Cricetulus griseus: one gene and its partners. The protein of the gene in region 4 interacts with the protein of the main gene of each other region in a pairwise test. Links are inferred from orthologs where the notes say so. Each region holds a gene or a part of one and is shown on either strand. Other genes may lie near its edges. The genes, in order: Glrx3, Otx1, Ptpmt1, Rgs20, Faslg and Hoxa1.

Region 1 (3,500 bases), on a different chromosome or scaffold from region 4:
TAGTTATTAAATGTGGCAGTTAGGCTTATCACTCATGTCATGAGTGGAAATGACTGCAGATAGAAATGGTGATTTTGTGGTAAATGAGATTTTTTTTTTTAAACTTTTAAGTGCTTCTATTGCATGCATTCATTTTTCTTCAGGAGTGTATAAATATTTTGTTATTAGAATAAAGCCTTATTACTACTTTATCCTTAAGCATAACATTTCCAATCTGCCACTTTAACCCTTAAAAATGAAACCCTACCAATCAATCTTTCTAGTCTGCATGTAATTGCCTAAAGCCAAAATAAAGCCTTTTTTCAGCCAGTTACAGTAGAAACGAGCTAATATATTGGGAGCAGAATAACCATCAGCAGTCAGCCGTTAGCTGTTTACTAATGAACTCCCAGATGAGTGAAAACATTCAGAAACAGTGTTTGACTTCAGGCTGTGCATGAGCACCACACTTGAGTTGTAGGAAATGCAGCTTATGTGCTGCACGCTCACCCTAGTGCTTCATCTCAACAAACGGCAGAGCCAGGAAGTGACTGGGACTCAGCTGTAGATCCATGTTTTTAATAATAAATTCACTTTTGGGTGACGTCAGGTAAAACCATTGCAGTTAATCTTATGCTGGATTTTATGATTTGATTTCATTTGAAAATAATTGCTGATAGGAGGAAATCCTAGAGGAATTTTTAATTGGAAGAATAGGTTGTGATCCAGTGAATTGAAGACTATGTTTCAAAGAATGGTGAAATGAGAAAGAGGAAGGTGCTTTAGACTTGGAGATGTAATTGGTAAGAATTAGCATCTGGAAAGAAAAGTAACCTTTTTTCAGCCTGGACTGATAGGATGCTCACACCCACCCTTTCTTCACACTCATGCTTACACCCCTTCATTGTGAACACTTCACCAAAGTCTAATACACTCTTGGGACATAAATTTGTCACTATAGTGTAGAAAAAAATCATGCTACACACTGTAGGGAATGTGGAACTTTAGGAAAGCATCTATCAGGTTATAGCATAAGCTGAGAAGGAATGCTGTCAGTCTATAGACAGTTCATATGTAACAACAAAGATGATTTTAACATTTACTGTACTGTGATCACTTAGACCCAAAGAGAGCACTTCTGATTCCCATTCATCCTGCTCAGATGTGAAGATGAGAAACAGCTGCAGAAGTGTGTATGGGCTCACTAGAGTGGAAGTAAGGACTGTACTTGGGTCTCACTGTGGTCAAGCAGTGGTTAAAATAGCTGTCCTAGGTGTCCTGGTCAGTTCCTTGATGGAGAGGGAGGCAGCTATAGAGGGCTTTGTTCCATGTCAGGGTGGAGACTTGCCAGGCTGTCAGGGTTCTGCTCTTAGACCAGTGCTGTGTCTCCAGTTAAAGAGCAGCTTTGATAAACACTTACCCCACTCAGTGTTAATATAACACTGCAGTTGTGTTAACATATATGTTAAAATCTTGCTGTGTGAGGCTCTAGGTCAAATGAGGGGCTTAGCATTTTGTTCTTTTATACTATGCAGTTATTCTGATTCAATCACTGCAGGCGGGGTGGGCATTTCTGTCTCCTGGATACCATGTGACATTGTGAGAGATGCTGAATTCTCTTATTTCCTTGTTCTGTTGCAGGTTTCAGCAAGCAGATGGTGGAAATCCTTCACAAACACAATATTCAGTTCAGCAGTTTTGATATCTTCTCAGATGAGGAAGTTCGACAGGGGCTCAAAACATACTCTAATTGGCCTACCTATCCTCAGCTTTATGTTTCTGGAGAGCTCATAGGAGGACTTGACATAATTAAGGTTAGATTCTTTATGAAGACATTTTGTTTAGAGCATACATTTCTAATGTGTTATAATAAATTGAAACCATGTATTTCTTATTGCACCTAAGGTGAACACAGTATTTCTGATAGTCATTTGTCAGTATTCCATATTGGGGGTGTTCGAGATGGTTTATGCTGTAATAATGTCCTTCTTTCAGGAGCTGGAAGCATCAGAAGAGCTAGATACAATTTGTCCCAAAGCTCCCAAGTTAGAGGAAAGGTAAGTACCAGGAAGCTGGCCGCAGTGTGACCTGAGTATCTTAATAGTCTATAAATCCTGTTACTGCATTGTTCTTTCGGAGTAGACACCAAACATTTGGGTGTTTGCCTGTTGGGATTATAACTTGGTGGTTCCTCAGCACTTAGTCTTGAAAACTTGGGATGCTCTGATTTGGACTGGAGATGTTTTAGCTCAGCTTAGTGACTATGGAGGGTATATTTGCTGTTGCAGAAATATCACTTTTAGTGGGCCTAGGGCCTTATTTGGTTCCTGCTTTTTCATGTGAGCATAGCACTCTTGTGTTTTTGTGTGCAGCTGAAGTGCTGTGTTCTGTCCTTGAGTGTGGTAAGAGTTGAATGGGAAAAGCTCAGGTTTTGAGTGGCTTTTTTAAGTCACAGTAACAAAACTCAGGCAGACTCCAGAGCTGTGAAGCCATCCTTCTTTTTAATGAGGGATCACAGTCTGCTTCAGAAGTCTTGTGGAAGTGTTGTATTTTGATATGGACTTTTGAAAAGGACTGTTGTAATGAATATGAATTTATTAATTCACACTTTTCATATTAATAATTAAAAGGAATTATCTTTACATGCATTAGCCCATCAACTTTTAGTTGGAGCTTGAGTTTGTAATTTACTTGCTATTTCACATTTTGAAAATTTCAACAAATGTTTAATAAGAAAAATCATCTGTACTTAATTCAAGTACTCTTAGGAATAGAATTCCATGTATGTCATACTGGCTCAGTGCCAGTGGTCTATACCCTTTCCTTGTGATGAGATCCTTCTTTGATCTTTATTGTGGCCCATGTTGTCCTTGCCCTCTGAGGCTGTGCTGTTCCCACAGTGGCTCTGCATTTCATATTCTGGATTGGCTGGGCACTGTGCTTTCCTCTCTGGCCTGTTGTTGCCTTGTCTTCATCAGATCTTCTTTCCTGAAGTGCTATTTCTAGCTCTCCTGTGCTTTAGGTATGCACAGATACTGGCTAGAGCTGTAGAGAAAGCAGTGTTTGGTATATTTGGGGGAGTAATTTGAAGGGCTCCTATCTAGCAAAATGACGTGTAGTCTAGTAAAGTTACCTGTGGTGCATGAATGTAGGTGGTTAGATCATTTGCTGAGTGGGCTAGACTAGGTCTGGAAGTGTAAATGTCATGGCCTATGTGATCTGTTCACTAGACTGGCATCAGTTTTATTCTACAAGGAAATTTGGACCCATAGTGCTTCTACAACATGAGAGGAATGAAGAGAAAGTGATGTTACCCATTGTCCTTGTATTGATTTTCCCTAAAGATTTGTGAATAAACTTTGTTCCAAATTTGGGTGATTAACATTCCTGATAGCAAGTTAGAGCATGGCATATACAATATGAAGTATCAAGTTAAAATGAGAACTGTGATTATCACCAGTTAGTGGTGGTTGGAGGGCTAAGGTTCGCCTTCTTACCTTTGTAGCCAGCAACCCTGCTCT
Region 2 (4,042 bases), on a different chromosome or scaffold from region 4:
TTTCCCTGAGTTCCCACCCTGGGCTCCCTGTAAAGCCGGGTGTAGCTAGAAGCCCCCCTCTCGGGTCCCAGCCCTACCCCCCCAGAACCCCTTCTTCCGCTGGAGAAGAGCGCCAGGGGCTCGCAGTGTCTTCGGCCGAGCCTAGCGCTCCCAGCTTGGGTGTGCGGGAGCTTTCCGACTTGAGGCCTAGTTCTCTGCTCTCCACCGAGTTCAGGAGAGGACGGCGAGGAGCCCACGCGATCCAGGGTGCTCTGGCTTCTGAACTCCCCAGCATGCTTTGAGCCGCTGGGCTGGTCATCCTTTATCAGACCCTGGTGGGACTCGGTGTGCTCTCTCGGACTTGGTAGAAAGAAGGTCGGGCCTGCGTGGGCTTAGGAGGACGGGTGACCGTCTTTGAGGCACCCCTGACCTTGGGCGGCTTCTTGAAACTGCCACTTCTACTGTGGCGCCTTTGGCATCTTCTCGCCGCCTCACCCGGGCCTGGGCCACATCTACCCTAGAAGTGCGTTGAAATTCCGGTTCACCCATCTCCTAGCGTCAGGGGCCCAGAGAGGTCAGATAGAATGGTGATTGGGACTCTGGGGGAGGGGGCTGCTCTGGAGATCTCTGAAGGAATGATGTGACCAAAATGGGCAGTTGCCTGGGCGATCCAAGGGGTACTAACCTTGGACCTCTGTAGTGCCAGCGGTTTTGTCCCTCTTTCAAAAACATTTGAAACTTAAACAAAATAACCCGGTACGTACGCTCTGTACGGCCTGCCATCCCGGCGCCAAGTGAACATTTGCTTGAGCAAATTGCTTCCGCAGCACTAAAAAAAAAAGACTACACTTGGGATTTTGCACCCTCCCCGGTCCCGGCTCTCACCTCCTCGGCCTGATCGCGCTTTTAAGTTTTCTTTCCTGTTGACACTCAAGGAGTGTCTTTGGCCCTTGTCAAGCCCTAAAAGAGGAAGGAACGATGTGGGGAAAGTTTACTTTTCTAAGAAGCCGGCTTGCTGAGCTTGGAGGAGAAATTTCTTGGGTTGCCTGCCCTGTTAAGTTCCTAGCCTGCCCCCCTCCCCATTCTAGGATTATAGGAACTGAAAGCCAAAGTGACTGCGGGTGACGGTTTCCATGTGTCTCCTGTCTCCTTAGGCCAGGCCCCCAGAAGCAACAGCTTGAAGGACTTCGAAGTGGGAGCCCTGAACTGCTCCTGGCCCCAGGCCCCCTGGATCCGTCGGGGCGCCTCCACCCGGCAGTTAGCATGATGTCTTACCTCAAACAACCCCCATACGGCATGAACGGGCTGGGCCTAGCTGGCCCTGCCATGGACCTCCTACACCCCTCTGTGGGCTATCCTGGTGAGCGGTGGCCCTATGTCCCTACCCCCAAGCCTGTGCAAATATTGGGGGATTCCAGCTTTTAACGTTTGAGCCCACACAGTCCCCAAACAGGCCCAGGGATATGATTATCTCTGTGTCTGTTGCCCAGATCTGCTACAGGCTCTCCGGTTTGAGTTTAGAAACTGTGACCTACAACTTTTGAGCTTGTGGTGCCTGCTCCTGTTGTGGTCTCACATGCTAGAGAAAGCATGTTTGTCCACCGACGTATTTCCCACCGGTTGCTTTTTTAAAAAAATAAAATCTTGCCCGCCCAAACATTTCACGAGGAATCTGGACTCGATAGGCCCTAATGTAAACAGCCAAACTTCCCTTATGTCTAGCTGCCTTGAGAAGCAGAGCTCTTTCTCCCTAGTCAGAGTGCCCTAGAGACCAGGGACCTGACCCAGCTCTTCCGTGGTGGCAGACGACTCCAACTGAACCCCGAATTTATTTTCTGGATCCTACTTCTTTGCTTGAATTTATTCACTTGGAAAGCTTTCCCAGGTCCTGTTTCTACCTACCTCTGTTCTACTTCCTACCTTTCAGCCAGAAGTGGGCTTAGGGAGATGAGGAGGGGATGGCTTTGTTTTTTATCTGAGAGACAAGGAGGGCTGAGGCCCTGATGTTTCTTTCAGACAGGAGCCTCTAGCCCAATTTATACACTTTGCCCCACCTGTGGGCAGGGAAGTTTGCTTTTGCGCGGAGGTCGGCCTTTCCTTTCCATGGCAGGGTTCTGGACCTACCAGAAGACCTGCGTGTGGCCTCTAGCTCCAGTCCTCGAGGTCCACTGCTGACTCCAGGTGCCCTTGTATGTCCCCACAGCCACCCCGCGGAAGCAGCGACGGGAACGCACCACCTTCACGCGTTCACAGCTGGACGTGTTGGAGGCCCTTTTCGCAAAGACTCGCTACCCGGACATCTTCATGCGAGAGGAGGTGGCGCTCAAGATCAACCTGCCAGAGTCCAGAGTCCAGGTGCGTGGTCTTTGGGACTCTAGGATTAGGGTAGGGGCGCTAGGAGCGGTCGGGGAAGATCCGACCTGGGCCATCTGGTGTTGGGGCCCATTCACTGACTGGACAGCCCCTCTCTAACTCCCCCTAGTGCTGGGCTTCAGTCAGCTAAAGGGGGGTAACATTTTAAAAAGTAATGGCTTAGAGCCCAACATCTCTCTAGCCCTTGTCCCCAGGGCGCTTTCATTGTTGAAAGTCGGTTTTTGGATTTTGGAAAGGCCAGCCGTGTCCCCCGGGTGTAACTTTCCCAGAAGGTTAGATAATGGCCCCTGCTTCCTGGCTACAACAGAATTTGGCGTTTTCCTACTGAGCCTTAGCTCTCCTTCCGCTCTTGTCTTTCTTACCCTTCCCTTGAGTCCTGGGGATTCTAAAAGTGCAAGATGGAACTTGGTCACAGCCTAGCGCAATCTGCCTTGGAGTGTGCTCTGAGGGTGGAGTCGGTATGGTTTGGAGTTTTCTCCAGCCGAGTGGAGGCCGAGTGCAAAATCCAGATGCTGGGTTTACTGTTTCTAAAATGAAACAGTTCAGAAAATAGGAGTTCTGAGTTAGTCTAAAACTCTTCCTCGAGAGTCTTTTGTCTCAACTTCTTTCCCTGAAGGCTCGAGAAGGGACTGGGAATGCAATGCCCCGTGTCCGGGCCCCTCCAAAAGGAGTGCGAATTTATGACTTATCGTTCCATTTGGTACCCCACCTGGAGCCAAAAGGCCCAAGGAAACCTCACCCAGGCTTCCTTCACGAGAATCCCAGTACTGGAGTACTGCTTCCGTTCAGTTCAGCCTCCAGCCTTGCTTCTGTTCCCACCCAAATATTTGCCCTGCCCAACTCCAGTCTCCAGGAGCCGACTCGGTGAAACCCCTCGGGCCCCAGACTTGGTGACTGCCCTACTCTCCGATGTTCTGTACTCTCCGCTGTTTCCTGAGCTCTGTTCTTGGAAAACAGGGCCTCCAAACTAAAACGGGGCTGCGGGGAAGCAGCCAACTGCAACAGCTTAGAGATGGCTGAACTTCTGGCTGGACAGACGCAAACGTTCCGCCCTTGGGCAGAGTTGCGCTGGGCTTGGGGAGGTGCGCATCCCTCCTGCGGTGGAGGCTGACTGGGGGCTTTGCGCAGAAGGATGGGGGAGGGAGCCAGAGCTGGGGACCTAGCACGTGCGGGGGAGGGGACAGGGTCTGGCAGGGCCAGAGACTGGGAGGGGTAGAGGCTGGGATTGAGAGGTCCCTGAGATCCTGGGCGGGGTGTGAGTCCGAGGGGCGGAGGAGCTGTGAGCTCCACTAGCCAGCCCCCTGATCCCTTCTCCTTCACCCTGCTCACTGCAGGTTTGGTTCAAGAACCGCCGTGCCAAGTGCCGCCAGCAGCAGCAGAGCGGGAACGGAACGAAAAGCCGGCCGGTCAAGAAGAAGTCGTCTCCAGTGCGCGAGAGCTCGGGCTCGGAGAGTAGCGGCCAGTTCACGCCGCCTGCCGTGTCTAGCTCGGCCTCTTCGTCTAGCTCAGCGTCCAGTGCCTCCGCCAATCCCGCGGCTGCTGCGGCCGCGGGCCTGGGTGGGAACCCGGTGGCAGCCGCGTCCTCTCTGAGTACGCCTACTGCTTCGTCCATCTGGAGCCCGGCCTCCATCTCGCCAGGCTCAGCACCGCCATCCGTGTCCGTGCCAGAGCCACTGGGCGCACCGAGCAA
Region 3 (4,121 bases), on a different chromosome or scaffold from region 4:
TGTAATTGCAGCTCTGGGAGTTCCAACACCTTCACATAGACACACAAGCAGGCAAAAATAGCAATGCATATAAAATGAAAAGAAATAATAGAAAAAAGTGGGTATTCTCTTTTCAAGGGAGTAAGTCTCACTATGTTGTGCAGACTGGATTTATTTATTTATTATTTTCATTTTATACACATGGGTAACTTGTGAGCCTACTGCCCGTGGAGGCCAGAAGAGAGCCTTGGGTCCCCTGGAACTGGAGTTGAGAGCCACCATATAAGTACTGGGACTCAAACCCAGATCCTCTGGAAGAGCAGCAAGCTCTAACCACTGAGTCCATCTTTGTGGCTCCATGGCTGATTGTTTTGAACTCAAGGGATCCTCTTGCCTCAGCTTCCTGAGTATCTGGGACTATAGGCATGTACGTGCCTGGCTTGTTAGAGTTATATATTTTTTCTTTTTGTGTGTGGGTTTTTTCAAGACAGGGTTTTACTCTGTAGTTCTGGCTGTCCTGTAACTCACTATGTAGACCAGGACAGGCTTGAACTCCCACAGAGGTCCACCTGTCTCTGCCACCCAAGTGCTAGGATTAAAAGCATGTGTCACGGGACTGGAGAGATGGCTTAGCGGTTAAGAGCCTTAGCTGCTCTTCCAGAGACCTGGGTTCAATTCCCAGCACCCACATGGCAGCTTGAAACTGTCTGTATCTACAGTTCCAGGGGATCTCACACCATCATACCACTGCACATAAAATAAAGTTAAATTATAAAAAAAAGCATGTGTCACTATGATAGACTGTAATATTTCTCTTCTAGTGAAAGGCATATAATAGAGAAAAAATAAAAACAACAGTGCTATGAAGAAAATTACTTTTCTTACTATTAATATATACTTTTCATACTATGTATATTCTAACTTGGTCAGGGCGGGTTTGGGATTAGGGAGTAGGACTTAATGTTAAGAAGCAGGCAGATTGCAAGAGTGGTGGCTATGCCATTAATCCCAGCACTTGGAAGGCAGGGGCGGGAGTGTCTCTTTGTTGTGTTTTGGGCCAGCCTGGTCTACATAGCCAGTACGAGGTATTTAGGGCTATATAGTGTGACATGGTCTCAAAACAGAAGAAAGAAATGGAAAGACTGGATTGTAGGCCATCACGCAGGTTCTCTGTCCACTCCCGCTCACCCCAGTGCTGGATCCTCCAGGGCCTCCCTGGGTTTAGAGGAGCCTCTCGGCTCATCCTTCTCCCAGGTGATGGATGCACCCGGGGTCACGCCCCAGGTCAGGGGTTGGAGAGAGGGCCCTCCTCCCTAGGCAGGGTCACAGTTTCGTTTCTCGTTGCCGTTCCAGCGCCCTCCCCCCGCCCCCCAGCCCTCCAGCCTCCGCCGCGGCGCCTCTCTTTCGGAGGCATGGTGCCAGTCCCGGGAGCCCAGAGGCCCGGCGGGGACCGCGGGGACCCAGCTTCCGAGAGTCGGGAGGGGCCGAACAGTCCGCAGCTCTCGCCTTCCGCGTCCTTCTCGCGGTGGCTGGCCGCGAGCCCGGGGGCCGGCGGCTCGCCGCTGCGCCTGGCGGGGTGGGGCGGGATGGCGGCGTCCGCGTGGCTGGAGGCCGGCCTGGCCCGGGTGCTCTTCTACCCGACGCTGCTCTACACCGTGTTCCGCGGCAGTGTGAGAGGCTGGGCGCACCGCGACTGGTACCACCGCATCGACTCCACCGTGCTGCTGGGCGCGCTGCCGCTGCGGAGCATGACGCGCCGGGTGAGAGAGGCTGCCGGGCCCGGCCGGGAGCGGGCCCCGGGCCTCGGTGGGCGCCCCACGGCCCTCGCTGAGCCCTCTCTTTGCTTCGGCAGCTGGTACTGGACGAGAATGTGCGCGGGGTGATCACCATGAACGAAGAGTACGAGACAAGATTCCTGTGCAACACCGCGAAGGTGAGGACCGAGGGCCCGCCAGCCTGGGCCAGTATTCGGGCCTGTGAGAGACGCTGCCGGGTGCCTGTCTCTCCCGGACAAGTGTCAGAGACCTAGTTGCCTTCTCGTGCCCTGAGTATGCCCGTCAAGGTAAATGGCTGCAGGTGAAAAGTTGATAAGCCAGAAGGAAGTCTGCGAGCCTGGAGCTCTGGCGACTCAGGTGGCTGAGGCAGAATCTTTAGAGTCCCTGAGTTCAAAAGTGCCTTGGGCACTGTTTGAAAAAGAGAGTGAGCTAATCCAGTTGGGTGGCTCACTGCTGGAATTCCAGCTAGCACAGGCAAGAGAAAGGATTGCTGGAAGTTCCAGGCCAACATGGAGTTCTGCACCAGACAGGGCACAAGCAAGCCCTTCAAAATCGGGACCAGGGGTGCAGTGCTTTATGCACAAAATTGTAAACGTATATGTTACTTTGCATTTGTTGTTTATTTTTGAGACAGGGTCTAAAGTCAATAATTAACTTGATCTGATTAGGTTCCCTCCACTTTCCAAGTACTGAGATTATAGGCATGTGCTAATACACCCGTCTTGTATTTGTGATTTTGGTAACTAAAATTGTGACTTACATGCCTTGTCGATTTTTATTCATTCTCATTCAACACTTATTTGAGCACCAATTGGCAATGTGTTAGTTAGCTTTGGAGATGAAGGCCAACTCTAAGAAAAGCACCTCCTTTTAAGAGGGGGTGTGGCTTAGCTGAAACCCTCTGGAGGCTGAGGCAAGAGGATCTCTGAGTTTGAGGCCAGCCTGGTCTACAGAGTTCCTGGGCATCCAGGGCTACACCGAGAAACCCTGTCTCGAAAAAACAGAAAAAATAAATATAAGGAGGGGGCCAGGCGTTGGTGGCCCACGCCTTTAATCCCAGCACTCGGGAGGCACAGGCAGGCGGATCTCTGAGTTCCAGGATAGGCTCCAAAGCTACACAGAGAAACCCTGTCTCGAAAAACCAAAAAAAAAAAAAAAAAAAAAAAGAGGGGATGTGGCTCATACCTGTAATATTAGCACTCTGTGTGTGCGGCTGGGAGTATCAAAAACTTGAGGGCAACCTGGGCTACATGAGGTTACATCTAAAAGCAAAGTCACACAGATAAGAAAAGCACACCCCCACTGGGCGTTGGTGGCGCATGCCTTTAATCCCAACACTCGGGAGGTAGAGGCAGGTGGATCTATGTGATTTCGAGGCCAGCCTGGTCTACAAGAGTGAGTTCCAGGACAGCCTCCAAAGCCACAGAGAAACCCTGTCTCGAAAAACCAAAAAGAGAGGAAAAAAGAAAAAAGAAAAGCACACCCCTTCCAGGATTGGGCATAGTGGCGCACCTTTAATCCCAGCGTTTGGGGTGCCAAGTCAGGTGAATACCTGAGTTCGAAACCATTATGGTCTACATAGTGAGTTACAGGACAGCCAGGGCTATGCAAAGAAACCCTGTCTTGAAAAAGAAAAGAAAGAAAAACTGCACTGCAGAGCAGGCTGGGGATTTGTTTCAGTTGATAAAATGCTTGCCTAGTATATAGGAAGCCCAGTTCAGAATAAAAACCAGGTGTGGTAGTGGTGCAGGACCTATAATCCCAGCACCAGAGGCAGAAGCAAGATATGAGTTCAAGACTAACCAAGGCTATATGAGGCCCTTTCTGAAAAAAGAAAAAAGGGGAACAAAAGAGTATGTCACTCTTCCTTGAATTTCCCCAAGTACTGTCACAAGGTCTCAGAGTTAATATTCACTAATGTGGTCAGTTGTTTTTGTTAGTCTAAGGACATAATGTGGTCAGTTGTATAAATCGAGGGGTGACTGAAGCTACACAGACAAAGCTTGGTCTCTCATTGTGAGGCACTGTCATTTGCTGTTTTTTTAATTTAAATTAAAAACAATCTTATTTTACATATCAATTCCAGTTCCCTCTCCCTCCCATCCTCCCATACCCTCTACCAACCCCCATCCACTCCTCAGAGAGAGTGAGGCCTTTCATGGGGGATCTTCAAAGTCTGTCACATCATTTGGGGCAGGGTCTAGGCCCTCCCCTGTGGTTCTAAGATGAGAGAGTATCTCTCCATGGGGAATGGACTCCCAAAGTCCATTCGTCCACTAGGAATAAATACTGGTTCCACTGCTAGAGGCCCCACTGCTAGACTGCCCAGGCCTCTTAATTGTCACCCATGTTCAGGGGGCCTGGTTT
Region 4 (3,500 bases):
CTGAGCCCAGCTGTCCCTGGCGCTCTCCCCACCAGAGCCCCAACACACTGTCACTTTTATTCGTTGCTTCCTGCCTCCACTTTCATTTTTCTTGGCAACTACTACTCTTTTTTTTTTTTCACAGACAGATTGAAATGTTTTTGTGTTTTGCTTGAGGGAAGTGTTTGGATTGGCAGTTAGGTCGGTTTGTAACTACACTAAATATTAGTGCCCAAAAAGCTAAGAAGGACTTAAAAATGGAAGCCTAAAGCAAGTGGCCTTCAAACAACACCAAGGCACAGGGTGGCACTCAATTGTAATCCTCATACCTAGGAAACTGAGGTCAGAGAATGGAGTTTAAGACTGGCCTGAGCTACTCAGCAAGGCCTTGTCTCAACACACACACACACACACACACACACACACACACACACACACACACACACACACACACACACACACACACACACACTTTTTTAAAGCAATAAAACTTTTCTAGAAATAATTATTTTTGGCAATCCTGCTGTAAATCTTCTCTTTCTGTCCCTCCTCCTTCCCCTCATCTTCCCCTCCTCCTTCCCCTCCCCTTCCCCCTCCTCCTTCCCCTCCCCCTCCTTTTGTTTGAAACAGATTCTCAGATTCTCTAGCACCTTGAGTTGACCTCAAATTCATTAAGTCAAGGATGGCAGATGATGGTATCCCCACCTGCCTTCCCACCTCCCCAGTGCTGGGATTACTGACATATGGGCAGTTTTGCTGTGCTGAACCCAGGGCTAGGTAAGCATGCTAGGAAAGGAACCAAATGAGCTTCATTCCCAGGCTTAGCTGAGCTACTGTGCAGCCTCACACTCCTAAGGCAAGAAGCATTAAAGTTTAAAGATTCTTTAAAACAAACTAAGGTCTCTCTGTACTTTCTACATAGCCCTGGCTGTCCTGGAACTCACTCTGTAGACCAGTCTGGCCTTGAACTCACAAAGATCTGCCTGCCCAAGTGCTGGGATTAGAGTCATGTGCCACCACTCCCAGCTAAAGGTTCTTTTAAAAGACTAACTTCATTCTTTCATCTTACAAAAGTAGATAAACTCTAAAGTTACAGTTCCATTCCCACAGTTGGGGGTTGTTAGTAGGAAGGCTATTTCTAGGACCCTGTGCTCCTGACTGCTACACTAAATATGCCCAAGAATGCTATTTTTTTAACTCCTCCTCTCACACACAAAAAGCATGTTTTCTTTCAACCCTCTTAATGCCTAAGTATCCTAGGAAGACACAGAAATTGTAAGAACTCTGAGAATAAGTTTTACAAATGGAGTACAGAAAAGAGGCCTGCAGTAGGAATGCTTACAAAACCGAACTCTGGTCTCCTCCTCTCCACTGAACGCTAAGGCCAAGTTGGCTAGCAACTTTCTCCCAAAGCCTAAGGCGGGTCTAGCATTCTTCAATCAGCTGCATCTACCATCCAGGTCTCACTTAATAGCAACCCCAGTAGGACCCGGTAACCAAGTGTATCACTGTCTCGGGTAGGTAGTGGTTTATTGGAAAAGGACACATCGAGAAGGATTCCGATGAAGAAAGGGGAAGAATTGCAAAAATTATCTGTGAACATAAACCTTCTTACACAGGCACGCCACGTTTAGCGTCATACAGATTCCACAGGGTTGTAACGAGCAGATTCTGATGAACTAGGCTGGGGTAGGGACTCAAGTTTTGCATAGCTATAGAGCCTCTGAGTATTGGGTATTGGCAACTGCTGCTGGTCCAAGGGCCACAGCGTTGAACAGCATCATTTTAAAGAAGGGGAGAAGTGAAGGGAGACTCTGACCTCGCGGTTTTGTTTTGCTTTTCACCGACCTTCTCCTGTACCCTCAAAGTAAATTCTCAAAATGCTTCATCAAGCGGTCTCAAGTAGGTGACTGGACAAGATCCTAACGTGTTGTTTCTCTCTTTCGCCCACACTCTTCGCGCCGTTCGCCCTGCACAGCTCCCAGACTCTCCCGCCGTGTGGACGCTGCTCCACCACCTTTCTAGCCTGCTCTGCAGCTTCACGCGATTCTTCTCGGGTCTTTTGCGGCGTCCCCCTCCTGCGGCTCGCCCGCGACGCTGGGACTTCTTCCCTCAGCTTCCTGCCTGGCCTGCCTCCAGGCTCTCTCCAGAGCCCCGCCGCCTCCTGCTCCTACTCGCTGCCTCAATGGCACTGCCAGGCCGACCTCCGAGGAGTCGTCATCTGAAACTGACAAGTCCAAACCCAGAGTCCAGAGAAGAGGACCCCTGCTCTGGGAGGAGTTCGCCGGAGTGCGTGAGTACTGGGGACGCCTCTAAACCCATCCTTGGCCTCCCGCAGCCCCAGGCTTTCCCACCCGTTCTAACCCGACTGACTCAACCCAGTCCGCACAACGCTGAACACACTGGGCTCCCTGACACTCCCACATCCGCGGAAGCAGTAGAAGCTACTTTCTCCCAAGCCATTCATTCCCTGTATACAGTTCCTAGGAGCGGGAGAAAGCCCTCTGACGCCTCCGAGGATCTTTTCCAACTGTGGTTGCAGCTCCTTCCCCCAGCCTCGCTCACAGAGCATCCCAGCGCTTCGCCACCGCCGGTGGTTGAGTTGGCGCTCCCACTCCTCTGCCCTCTCTGTAGGAGAGGGAGGAAATGACGTGGTGTTATTTTTGTGTCAGGTCACTTTGCTGCTTTAATTTAGCCCTCGGAGCTCAGGCGTACTGCCCCAGGGGCCCACTCCAAGGCTTACTCCGAGAGCCGCGGGGACCCGGGAGCTGGGAGTCTTCATTGCTAGGAGTCAGGTGGCGCGGCCGCAAGGGGCTTTTCCCATCGCCTCTGAGTCCTAAGGGAACAGGGGTTGCCGAGGGACTGCGTGAGACCCGAGTCCAGGCTTAGGTTGTCCTGCCATCCCAGTCGCCAGGTGGGGCCATCCGATTCTGGCTTACCCGAACCAGGTGAGACCACCGTCTAGAGCGAGAACAGTACCAAACGAGTTGGGAGCAGAGGTCGGTAGCTCTCGGGGTAGCGGGAACAGCGGCGTCTGCAGGAATTGTCCTGCAGAGGCGGCAGTTCACAGGCACGACCCAGGGTACAGAGTATCCGCTCCTCTCACGACACCTCCTTTCATCCCTGCGCTGGTCCCCTAGCTCACTTCATTCATGAGGTCCCAGCACTCATTCACTCACTCTGAATAGACCCGCGCAGGCTAAGGCCAGAGAATAAAAAGAGAGGGATTTGCAGGAACCCTCAAAGCTCGTTCCGCGTCTCACCCACTCATTCGGTGCTACTGGAAGAGAAGAGCCTAGGTGGGGGCTCCTCTTGCGAGCTTTGGGACTAAGGAGTGCCCCCAGCCTCCGAGTGCTGCGCGCCGCCGCCAGTAGGAGGCGAGCCTAGGGAATGCCCAGCCCTGGGAAAGCGAGCGTGGAGGCGGAGAGGAGTCAGAAAAGGGAAAGGAGGAGGAAGAAAGGAAGGCTCGGGAGCTTAGACCCAGACACGCAGCAAAGGGCGGGAGGCAGGGAGCCAGCGCG
Region 5 (3,042 bases), on a different chromosome or scaffold from region 4:
ATTTCAAAGCATAGACAGTAACGAGGATGTGCATAAAACTGTTGACAGAGGATAGAAACTTCCTGTTGTATTTCCTTTAAGATGGGAAATGATCATTTTTAACCATGCAGGTTTTGCAAGAGCGTGAGCACGAGCACACACACATGTGCAAACACCTGTCTGGGCTAGATAAATTGGACCCTGAGGATATTGTCCTTTGGCTCTGGAGCTTACAAACTCTGACTAAGTGCACGTCTCTCCTGTAGATAATGGCCAGCTGGAGAGGGTGGCTTCAGGGTAGAGTGGTCATAATTCCTGTTTGAAGTGTGAAGAATTCTGATTTCCCCCTTGCCTCGACCTCTTGGTGACCTCTGTTAAGGACATGTCAGGTTGGCACAGGAGCCCCAGCCATCATTTCCTGAGAGGAGGAGATGGCTGCCTTGATTGAAGGGAGTGTGACATCAACACTGGCAAAGGTGGTGTGTATTTGTCACACCTCAGAAGTGGGCATTGCTGGTGCTTCCTGGGAGGGATGTGACAGTCACAGGCACAGGGCTATTAATGGAATCTGCCTAAGTTTTCCCTTGCCTCTCAATGGGGTGAGGCTCAGCTGCTATGGTCTGTCATTCTAGCTGGCCTCAAGGGCTAAAGTACACATGGGAAAATGTAAGGGCACATGTGACATATGTGTTATATTTGATGTAACCACAGCATGAGGAATTGCAAAGGGAAGGAAGGGAGTCTACTAGGCTGACAGTCCTGTGGCAGAAACAAAGAACAGTTATCCCAACTCTTAAGGAAGCCCTCTGTCCATTAGATAAACCAAGAGAGATTATTTATAAAACAAAAAGTGCACTCTTTTCAACCATGCCAAAATCCACAAGGGGACTTGTGACATAAGTCCAAGAGGAGCAGCCAAGGGTGAGTGATGCACTGTTTTGAATAAGAAGAGATTGTTCTGGCATTTGTGGGTTTTCAGCCTATGATTATAAAGTAAATAAGTGTTTTAGTATAATATGGCATGGGCAACTCCATTAGAAATATAAACATTAAAAATGTAGTTATATATCACAAGAAGAGGTGTACCATACCTCCTGTCATCACTTGGAGGCTGTAGAAAAATTCATCTGGGTCCACAAACACTTATTGAGTACTTGCTGTGTGTAGGTACATAATGCTGTGTGAACAAAATGGAAGGGGATTAGCCCAAAATAAGAGGCCAAGGAATCCAAACTAAACAAGGAAGTGGACCACATAACCATGAGATTTTGTCCAGATGTAGAACTCTGGAGATCATTCTCTTTATGGAGGGATGCCCAAGCTCAGCGGTGTTGGTACTAGTTTAGATCATAAAATGTTTGTTCCAGAGAACTGAAATTATCCTAATAGTCTTCCCTGAGATCAATCAGAGACACACACTAAATTTGTCCCAATCACATGGATGATTAAATTAGGGTGGACAATTTGACAAAGGTGTTGAAGAAACTCTGGGGTGGACCATGCTTTGACCCCTGATTGGCTGTCCTTCTGGATAGAGCTTTTGTTAAGGAAGGGCCCAGAGTTTTCCCTTGGAATCTTAGCCCATCAGATGTGGGAGACCTTCTGGCTGAAAGTTCTTCTCTGGTTTATTTCAGGCAACCCCAGCTCAAGGTCTGTCCTTCTGGAGTGGGAAGACACATATGGAACTGCTCTGATCTCTGGAGTGAAGTATAAGAAAGGTGGCCTTGTGATCAATGTCCCTGGCTTGTACTTTGTATATTCCAAAGTATACTTCCGGGGTCATTCTTGCACCAATCAGCCCTTAAGTCACAAGGTCTACATGAGGAACTCTAAGTATCTTGGGGATCTGGTGTTAATGGAGGAGAAGAAGTTGAACTACTGCACTCCTGGCCAGATGTGGGCCCACAGCAGCTATCTGGGGGCAGTATTCAATCTTACCAGTGCTGACCATTTATACGTCAACATCTCTCAACTCTCTCTGATTAATTTTGACGAATCTAAGACATTTTTTGGCTTATATAAGCTTTAACAGAAAAAGCACTTTAGAATTATCCATTATTCCGTTTTATGGGTACTGGGAATATTGTCTTGAATGAGTGTCTTTTTAAGACCAATTGAGATTAATCAAGACAAAATGAGCCACAAAGACCTCATGATCACAAGGTTCAACAGGTCAACTTTCCTTCATTTCCCAGAGTGGTCCTTAATGCCTCCATCGTGAGCTAGATGGAAGGAGAACTGTGGCCAAGGAACATAAAGCTTTGGGCTGCCATGTGATGATGCAGAGGCACAGAGAAGGAACTGTCTGATGCTAAAAATGGCCAAGAGCATTTTAGCCATTGAAGAGGACACTTTTAAACTCACCTTTCAGGGTGGGTCTACTTGCTACCTCAGAGGAGGCCATCTTTCAGACACATGGTTATGATCTGAATATACAAGGCATGGGAAAAGGGGGCCAGGTTTGACTGATAAGCTAGAGACTGAAAGAGGCCAATGTCTCATTGGCATCATCTTTACTTTTAACGGGTGTTTTCTGAGCCAACCTTTGATGCTAACAGAGAACTAAGAGGGATGTTTGAAGCACAGATCATTCCTTACACAGCATGTGTATCTCCAGTGCAATGGCATGTGTGTCTCCAGTGCAATGGCATGTGTGTCTCCAGTGCAATGGTGTCTGTGTGTGTTTGTATGTATGAGAGAGCAGACAGACAGATTCTAGAGAGTCATATAAATAGAATGTGTGCATTACAAAGTACATATTAGAAACATATGTGTTACATTTGGTGGTGGATATCTGAATGTTTCTTGGCAATAAACTCTAATAGTCTTCAAAATTTTTTTATTACCAGCTACTTATGCTGTTTTCCTTTAATAGAACTAGTATATATATATATATATATTTTGTGAATCTTAGTGAAAAAAGACAAATAAAAATTGTATTGCAGAATATAGAAAAGTATTAAGGATATAGTGTTTGGAAATCAGCGAGATGTGCTTATTGTTTCTTTTCTCCATGGTTTCTTCATTCATAATGGCTTTGGAGCATTCTGAGAAAGATTTACA
Region 6 (4,181 bases), on a different chromosome or scaffold from region 4:
GGGGTGAGGTTGATGGAAAACAGGACCCCTGTCCTGGGATGATGCTCACATTTGCACGTGTCTCTCTGGGGAGTGACCTGAAGGTTCACACAAGCAACTACACAGTCCGTTGGAAAGTATACAATCCACTCAGCCATCTGTCCACTGCCCCTCCCACCTGCCAGTCCCTCCCCACCCCCCAGACATGCAATAGGGGGCGGTGGCAAGAGGAGGTTTTCCCACTCCTAACAAGCAAGCCCCTTATGAAAGAGAGAAATGTGACGCGGGAGGTCAGCATACTTTGTAAGAACTGTGCGATCCGTCCTTCTGTCCCGTCCCTCCGTCCCTCTGAGGCCTACGCTGGAGCGAGCAAGCTCCTGGGTCTCTAAGAGCAGACAGAAGGCCTGCAGCTCAGGCTCGGCCCTCATGCCGGCCACGTCTGCTAGCGTCATCTTTCTCATCTGCCTTCCACCCTCAAACTCCAGCAGCAGAGTTGCTCCGGATCCTGAGGGACTACCAAGAGCAAAGCTGACTGACTGGGAAGGAGAAAGGGGAAGAGATCCAGAGAAGAGGGAGGGCAGAGAAGAGAGCAGACACCCGGACTTTCCCAGAGAGCTGGGTTCCTAGGGCTCCCCCGCCCCCCTGGGGTCGAATTACAGAAGCTCCCATAGCCACGCTATTGGCCCGTAGGAGTCAGGGCAGAGGGCTCTGAGACCCTCCGGATGAGGACAGTAGCTTCTTTTCTTTCTCTGGTCCCCATCACACCCACCCTGATTCCTCCCAGACAATCCTTTGCGCACGTCCCCCTACATTCCGAGGCGGGTGAGGCAGTGACGCAGCCTTGCCCTAGGCGCCTGGGTTCCAGGCTCAAGTCTCTGCAGGGACTGGGTGGTGGCGGCCATCCCGAGCTGAGGGGATGATGTGTGCTGGATTCCTACCCTTCCCACCCTGTTTGCTCCCGGCTCCGCCAGGGTCCTTGAGACCATGCAGAGAGCTCTGGCCTACCGAGGCCCGCCTCAAGAGAGCCGAGAGGCCTCGTCCCCTCTCACCTCTTGTCAGTTCAGCTTTCTAGGCTGGGTGGGGAAAGGGCCGCGGAGGGTCGCCTCCCATCCCCCACATCCTGGAGGCGGAGGCGAGCAGAGTCGGGCGCGCGCAGAAGTCAATCTCTACTCCCCTTGGCCCCAGTGCTCCAAGTCAGCTCTGGCAGCGGCCGGAGCAGCCGCCGCGGCCCGGGCAGCCTGGGGGGGCGACCGCGCGTCACCTAGACTGAGGAGCGCCGGGGATTTAAATGCCACTGAAACGGTGATCCATCACCGCCGCAGCCGGTAAACTTTCGCAGGCGGCTCAGCCATTGGTTGACAAAGTCACGTGTCCTTCCCCTTGAGTCCTCCGCCTTCCCGCCCCGCCTCTTGCGCACTGTACATTCATATCATTTTTCTTCTCTGGTCCCATGGAGGAAGTGAGAAAGTTGGCACGGTCACCCAGGGCTTCGCAGGACCCAGTCACTCAGTGACAGATGGACAATGCAAGAATGAGCTCCTTCCTGGAATATCCCATCCTTGGCAGTGGCGACTCCGGGACCTGCTCTGCGCGAGCCTACACCTCTGACCATGGGATTACAACTTTCCAATCCTGCGCGGTCAGTGCCAACAGCTGCGGCGGCGACGACCGCTTCCTAGTGGGCAGGGGGGTGCAGATCAGCTCGCCCCACCACCACCACCATCACCACCCCCAGCCGTCTACTTACCAGACTTCTGGGAGTCTGGGGGTTTCCTACTCCCACTCGAGTTGTGGTCCAAGCTATGGCGCGCAGAACTTCAGTGCGCCTTATGGCCCCTATGGATTAAATCAGGAAGCAGACGTAAGTGGTGGGTACTCCCCGTGCGCTCCCGCTGTTTACTCTGGAAACCTCTCATCTCCCATGGTCCAGCATCACCACCACCACCACCACCAGGGTTATGCTGGGGGCACGGTGGGCTCGCCTCAGTATATCCACCACTCTTATGGACAAGAGCACCAGAGCCTGGCCCTGGCCACGTATAATAACTCCTTATCCCCTCTCCACGCCAGCCACCAAGAAGCCTGTCGCTCCCCTGCTTCAGAGACGCCTTCTCCAGCGCAGACCTTTGACTGGATGAAAGTCAAAAGAAACCCTCCCAAAACAGGTGAGTCCTGCCGGCTGGCAAACAAATGTTGCTTGATTTTGAAAGGGGCCGGTGCGCTTAGTTTCCTAGGAAAGTTAATGATTTTAAAAGATGGGTTCTTGCTTCTGTCTAGTGTCTTCTGGAGTTATAGTGTGTGGTGTAGGATGCCCAGGTGTGTTGGGGCAAAGCAGTTTCTGGACCTGGCATTTTCAAAGGGGCTGATGCTTCAGTGGTCTAGAAGTAGGAAGCGTGTGTGTGTGTGTGTGTGTGTGTGTGTGTGTGTGTGTGTGTGTGTGTGTGTGTGGTGTGGTGTGGGTGGGAGGTGTCGGTGGTGGTGGAGTTTTGTTAATATCTACAGGCTCCATTAATCAGAAGCCTGACCACGCTAATGGTTGACTTCAGGTTAACACTTTACATACACATCGTTTGTCACTAGAGCTTCCCAGCTGGGTTTGTGCTGAGCAGTTAACCGAATGTTGCCCCGAACATTGGGCAATCGGATAAGGGTTAAAGAATTTTTACCTTTTCCTCTCTTCCTCCGTTACCCCAGGGAAAGTTGGAGAGTATGGCTATGTGGGTCAACCCAACGCAGTGCGCACCAACTTCACCACCAAGCAGCTCACGGAGCTGGAGAAGGAGTTCCACTTCAACAAGTACCTGACACGAGCGCGCAGGGTGGAGATAGCCGCGTCCCTGCAGCTCAACGAGACCCAGGTGAAGATCTGGTTCCAGAATCGCCGCATGAAGCAGAAGAAGCGTGAGAAGGAGGGGCTCCTGCCCATTTCTCCAGCCACTCCTCCTGGAAGCGACGAGAAAGCTGAAGAATCTTCTGAGAAATCCAGCTCCTCGCCCTGCGTTCCTTCTCCAGCATCATCTACCTCAGACACCCTGCCTACCTCCCATTGAGGCCACTCCAGCCCAGCTCCGTAGTCCAGGCTTCTCCCTGGGCTAGGGTTTCTTACCCAAAGCACATCTCTAGCTTATCTTTCTTCCTTTACAGTCTCTCTTTTTCTTTCTGGTCCAATCCAGAGAGCTCCTGGGCAACATAATGTAGTTCCATAGAATTCTGGAGACTTGGTTGTAAATTAAATCCTTAATCCACATCGGGTGCCCATATCAATTTCTGGTGGCCCCCAAAATTCCTTCCTCACTGTTGTGAGAGTTTTTTTTACACAACCCATGGTTCCTTTCAGATGTCCCTTGGAGGACAGTACCCTTTGCCAGCAGGCATTTGAAGAAGGGAGGCATCTCACCTTTTATCTGTATATTGTTCTTCTCTACCTGGCTCTTAAGTAGGACACACAAAAAAGAGAGTATCCAAAGGCTCATGAAGAAGAGATTGACTGAGTGTGTTTACACAATTAATTCACCCCTTAACTTTCTCTTGAGAGATTTATCTTTATACAGATTTTCTAGAAACATGCAGAACTATATCAAACAGGGTGGGCAAACTTCCAAAACTGGTGATTATGGGTGGACAAAAAAGGGGGGACCCTGGCATTCAAACAGAACCAGATTCCTCAAAAGGTAGCCTCAATTTGCTCTTGCAGAGTCAAGAAGGCCTGAGAAGCCCAAAGTTCAGAACCTTTGCTGTGCCAAGACTTCCCAAATTACCGATTTCTTCTTGCTTCTCTGGCCACCCTCCACTTAAAAAGTGTGCTGGATTATTTGTAACCTAAAGGTACTCTTTTCAGTCACCCTTTCTTTCCACAGTTATCTTGGCTGGATACAATGTATTTTCAGCTAATTGTTAATGTGATGGCACAATGAATGTATATTTTGTGTGATTCGTGAATAGTCTTCTGCATGTCGCACAATGTTTTGATGTCCCTGAAGTACCACACTGAGTTCTATCAGTTATCTTTTGTGAGCCTACGATAGTCCCCCTTTCCTGTACAATCATGAACAGCTCTGAGATCCCAGAGGGATGTGATCCAGAGCAGAGTTTACGGGTCTTAAGACGTCTGTAATAAAAAATATTCAAGTTTTGGGTATGCTTAAGCATCTGTGTATTTGGCTGGGCTACAGTTTGTGTCTTACTACAAAGTAAGGGGAAGG

What was found.
Region 1: the proteins of Rgs20 (region 4) and Glrx3 interact in binary tests that used the Homo sapiens proteins (3 or more experiments, as listed by UniProt). The link is inferred for Cricetulus griseus from reciprocal best matches to the Homo sapiens genes RGS20 and GLRX3.
Region 2: the proteins of Rgs20 (region 4) and Otx1 interact in binary tests that used the Homo sapiens proteins (3 or more experiments, as listed by UniProt). The two-hybrid records come from large-scale screens. The link is inferred for Cricetulus griseus from reciprocal best matches to the Homo sapiens genes RGS20 and OTX1.
Region 3: the proteins of Rgs20 (region 4) and Ptpmt1 interact in binary tests that used the Homo sapiens proteins (3 or more experiments, as listed by UniProt). The two-hybrid records come from large-scale screens. The link is inferred for Cricetulus griseus from reciprocal best matches to the Homo sapiens genes RGS20 and PTPMT1.
Region 5: the proteins of Rgs20 (region 4) and Faslg interact in binary tests that used the Homo sapiens proteins (3 or more experiments, as listed by UniProt). The two-hybrid records come from large-scale screens. The link is inferred for Cricetulus griseus from reciprocal best matches to the Homo sapiens genes RGS20 and FASLG.
Region 6: the proteins of Rgs20 (region 4) and Hoxa1 interact in binary tests that used the Homo sapiens proteins (3 or more experiments, as listed by UniProt). The two-hybrid records come from large-scale screens. The link is inferred for Cricetulus griseus from reciprocal best matches to the Homo sapiens genes RGS20 and HOXA1.

The regions. Positions count from the first base shown.
Region 1 is NC_048596.1:63,474,010-63,477,509, reverse strand, and holds part of Glrx3 (glutaredoxin-3), read left to right. Parts: intron 1-1,620; coding exon 1,621-1,793; intron 1,794-1,974; coding exon 1,975-2,036; intron 2,037-3,500. UniProt on the Homo sapiens protein: Together with BOLA2, acts as a cytosolic iron-sulfur (Fe-S) cluster assembly factor that facilitates [2Fe-2S] cluster insertion into a subset of cytosolic proteins.
Region 2 is NW_023276807.1:84,695,354-84,699,395, forward strand, and holds the start of Otx1 (homeobox protein OTX1), read left to right. Parts: upstream 1-1,242; coding exon 1,243-1,339; intron 1,340-2,182; coding exon 2,183-2,334; intron 2,335-3,686; coding exon 3,687-4,042. UniProt on the Homo sapiens protein: Probably plays a role in the development of the brain and the sense organs. Can bind to the BCD target sequence (BTS): 5'-TCTAATCCC-3'.
Region 3 is NC_048599.1:85,841,095-85,845,215, forward strand, and holds the start of Ptpmt1 (phosphatidylglycerophosphatase and protein-tyrosine phosphatase 1), read left to right. Parts: upstream 1-1,321; 5' UTR 1,322-1,391; coding exon 1,392-1,739; intron 1,740-1,831; coding exon 1,832-1,912; intron 1,913-4,121. UniProt on the Homo sapiens protein: Lipid phosphatase which dephosphorylates phosphatidylglycerophosphate (PGP) to phosphatidylglycerol (PG).
Region 4 is NC_048595.1:158,247,441-158,250,940, reverse strand, and holds part of Rgs20 (regulator of G-protein signaling 20), read left to right. Parts: intron 1-1,898; coding exon 1,899-2,272; intron 2,273-3,500. UniProt on the Homo sapiens protein: Inhibits signal transduction by increasing the GTPase activity of G protein alpha subunits thereby driving them into their inactive GDP-bound form.
Region 5 is NC_048598.1:30,345,254-30,348,295, forward strand, and holds the end of Faslg (tumor necrosis factor ligand superfamily member 6), read left to right. Parts: intron 1-1,613; coding exon 1,614-2,008; 3' UTR 2,009-2,542; downstream 2,543-3,042. UniProt on the Homo sapiens protein: Cytokine that binds to TNFRSF6/FAS, a receptor that transduces the apoptotic signal into cells. Involved in cytotoxic T-cell-mediated apoptosis, natural killer cell-mediated apoptosis and in T-cell development.
Region 6 is NC_048601.1:89,186,605-89,190,785, forward strand, and holds Hoxa1 (homeobox protein Hox-A1), read left to right. Parts: upstream 1-1,381; 5' UTR 1,382-1,495; coding exon 1,496-2,144; intron 2,145-2,673; coding exon 2,674-3,029; 3' UTR 3,030-4,129; downstream 4,130-4,181. UniProt on the Homo sapiens protein: Sequence-specific transcription factor. Regulates multiple developmental processes including brainstem, inner and outer ear, abducens nerve and cardiovascular development and morphogenesis as well as cognition and behavior.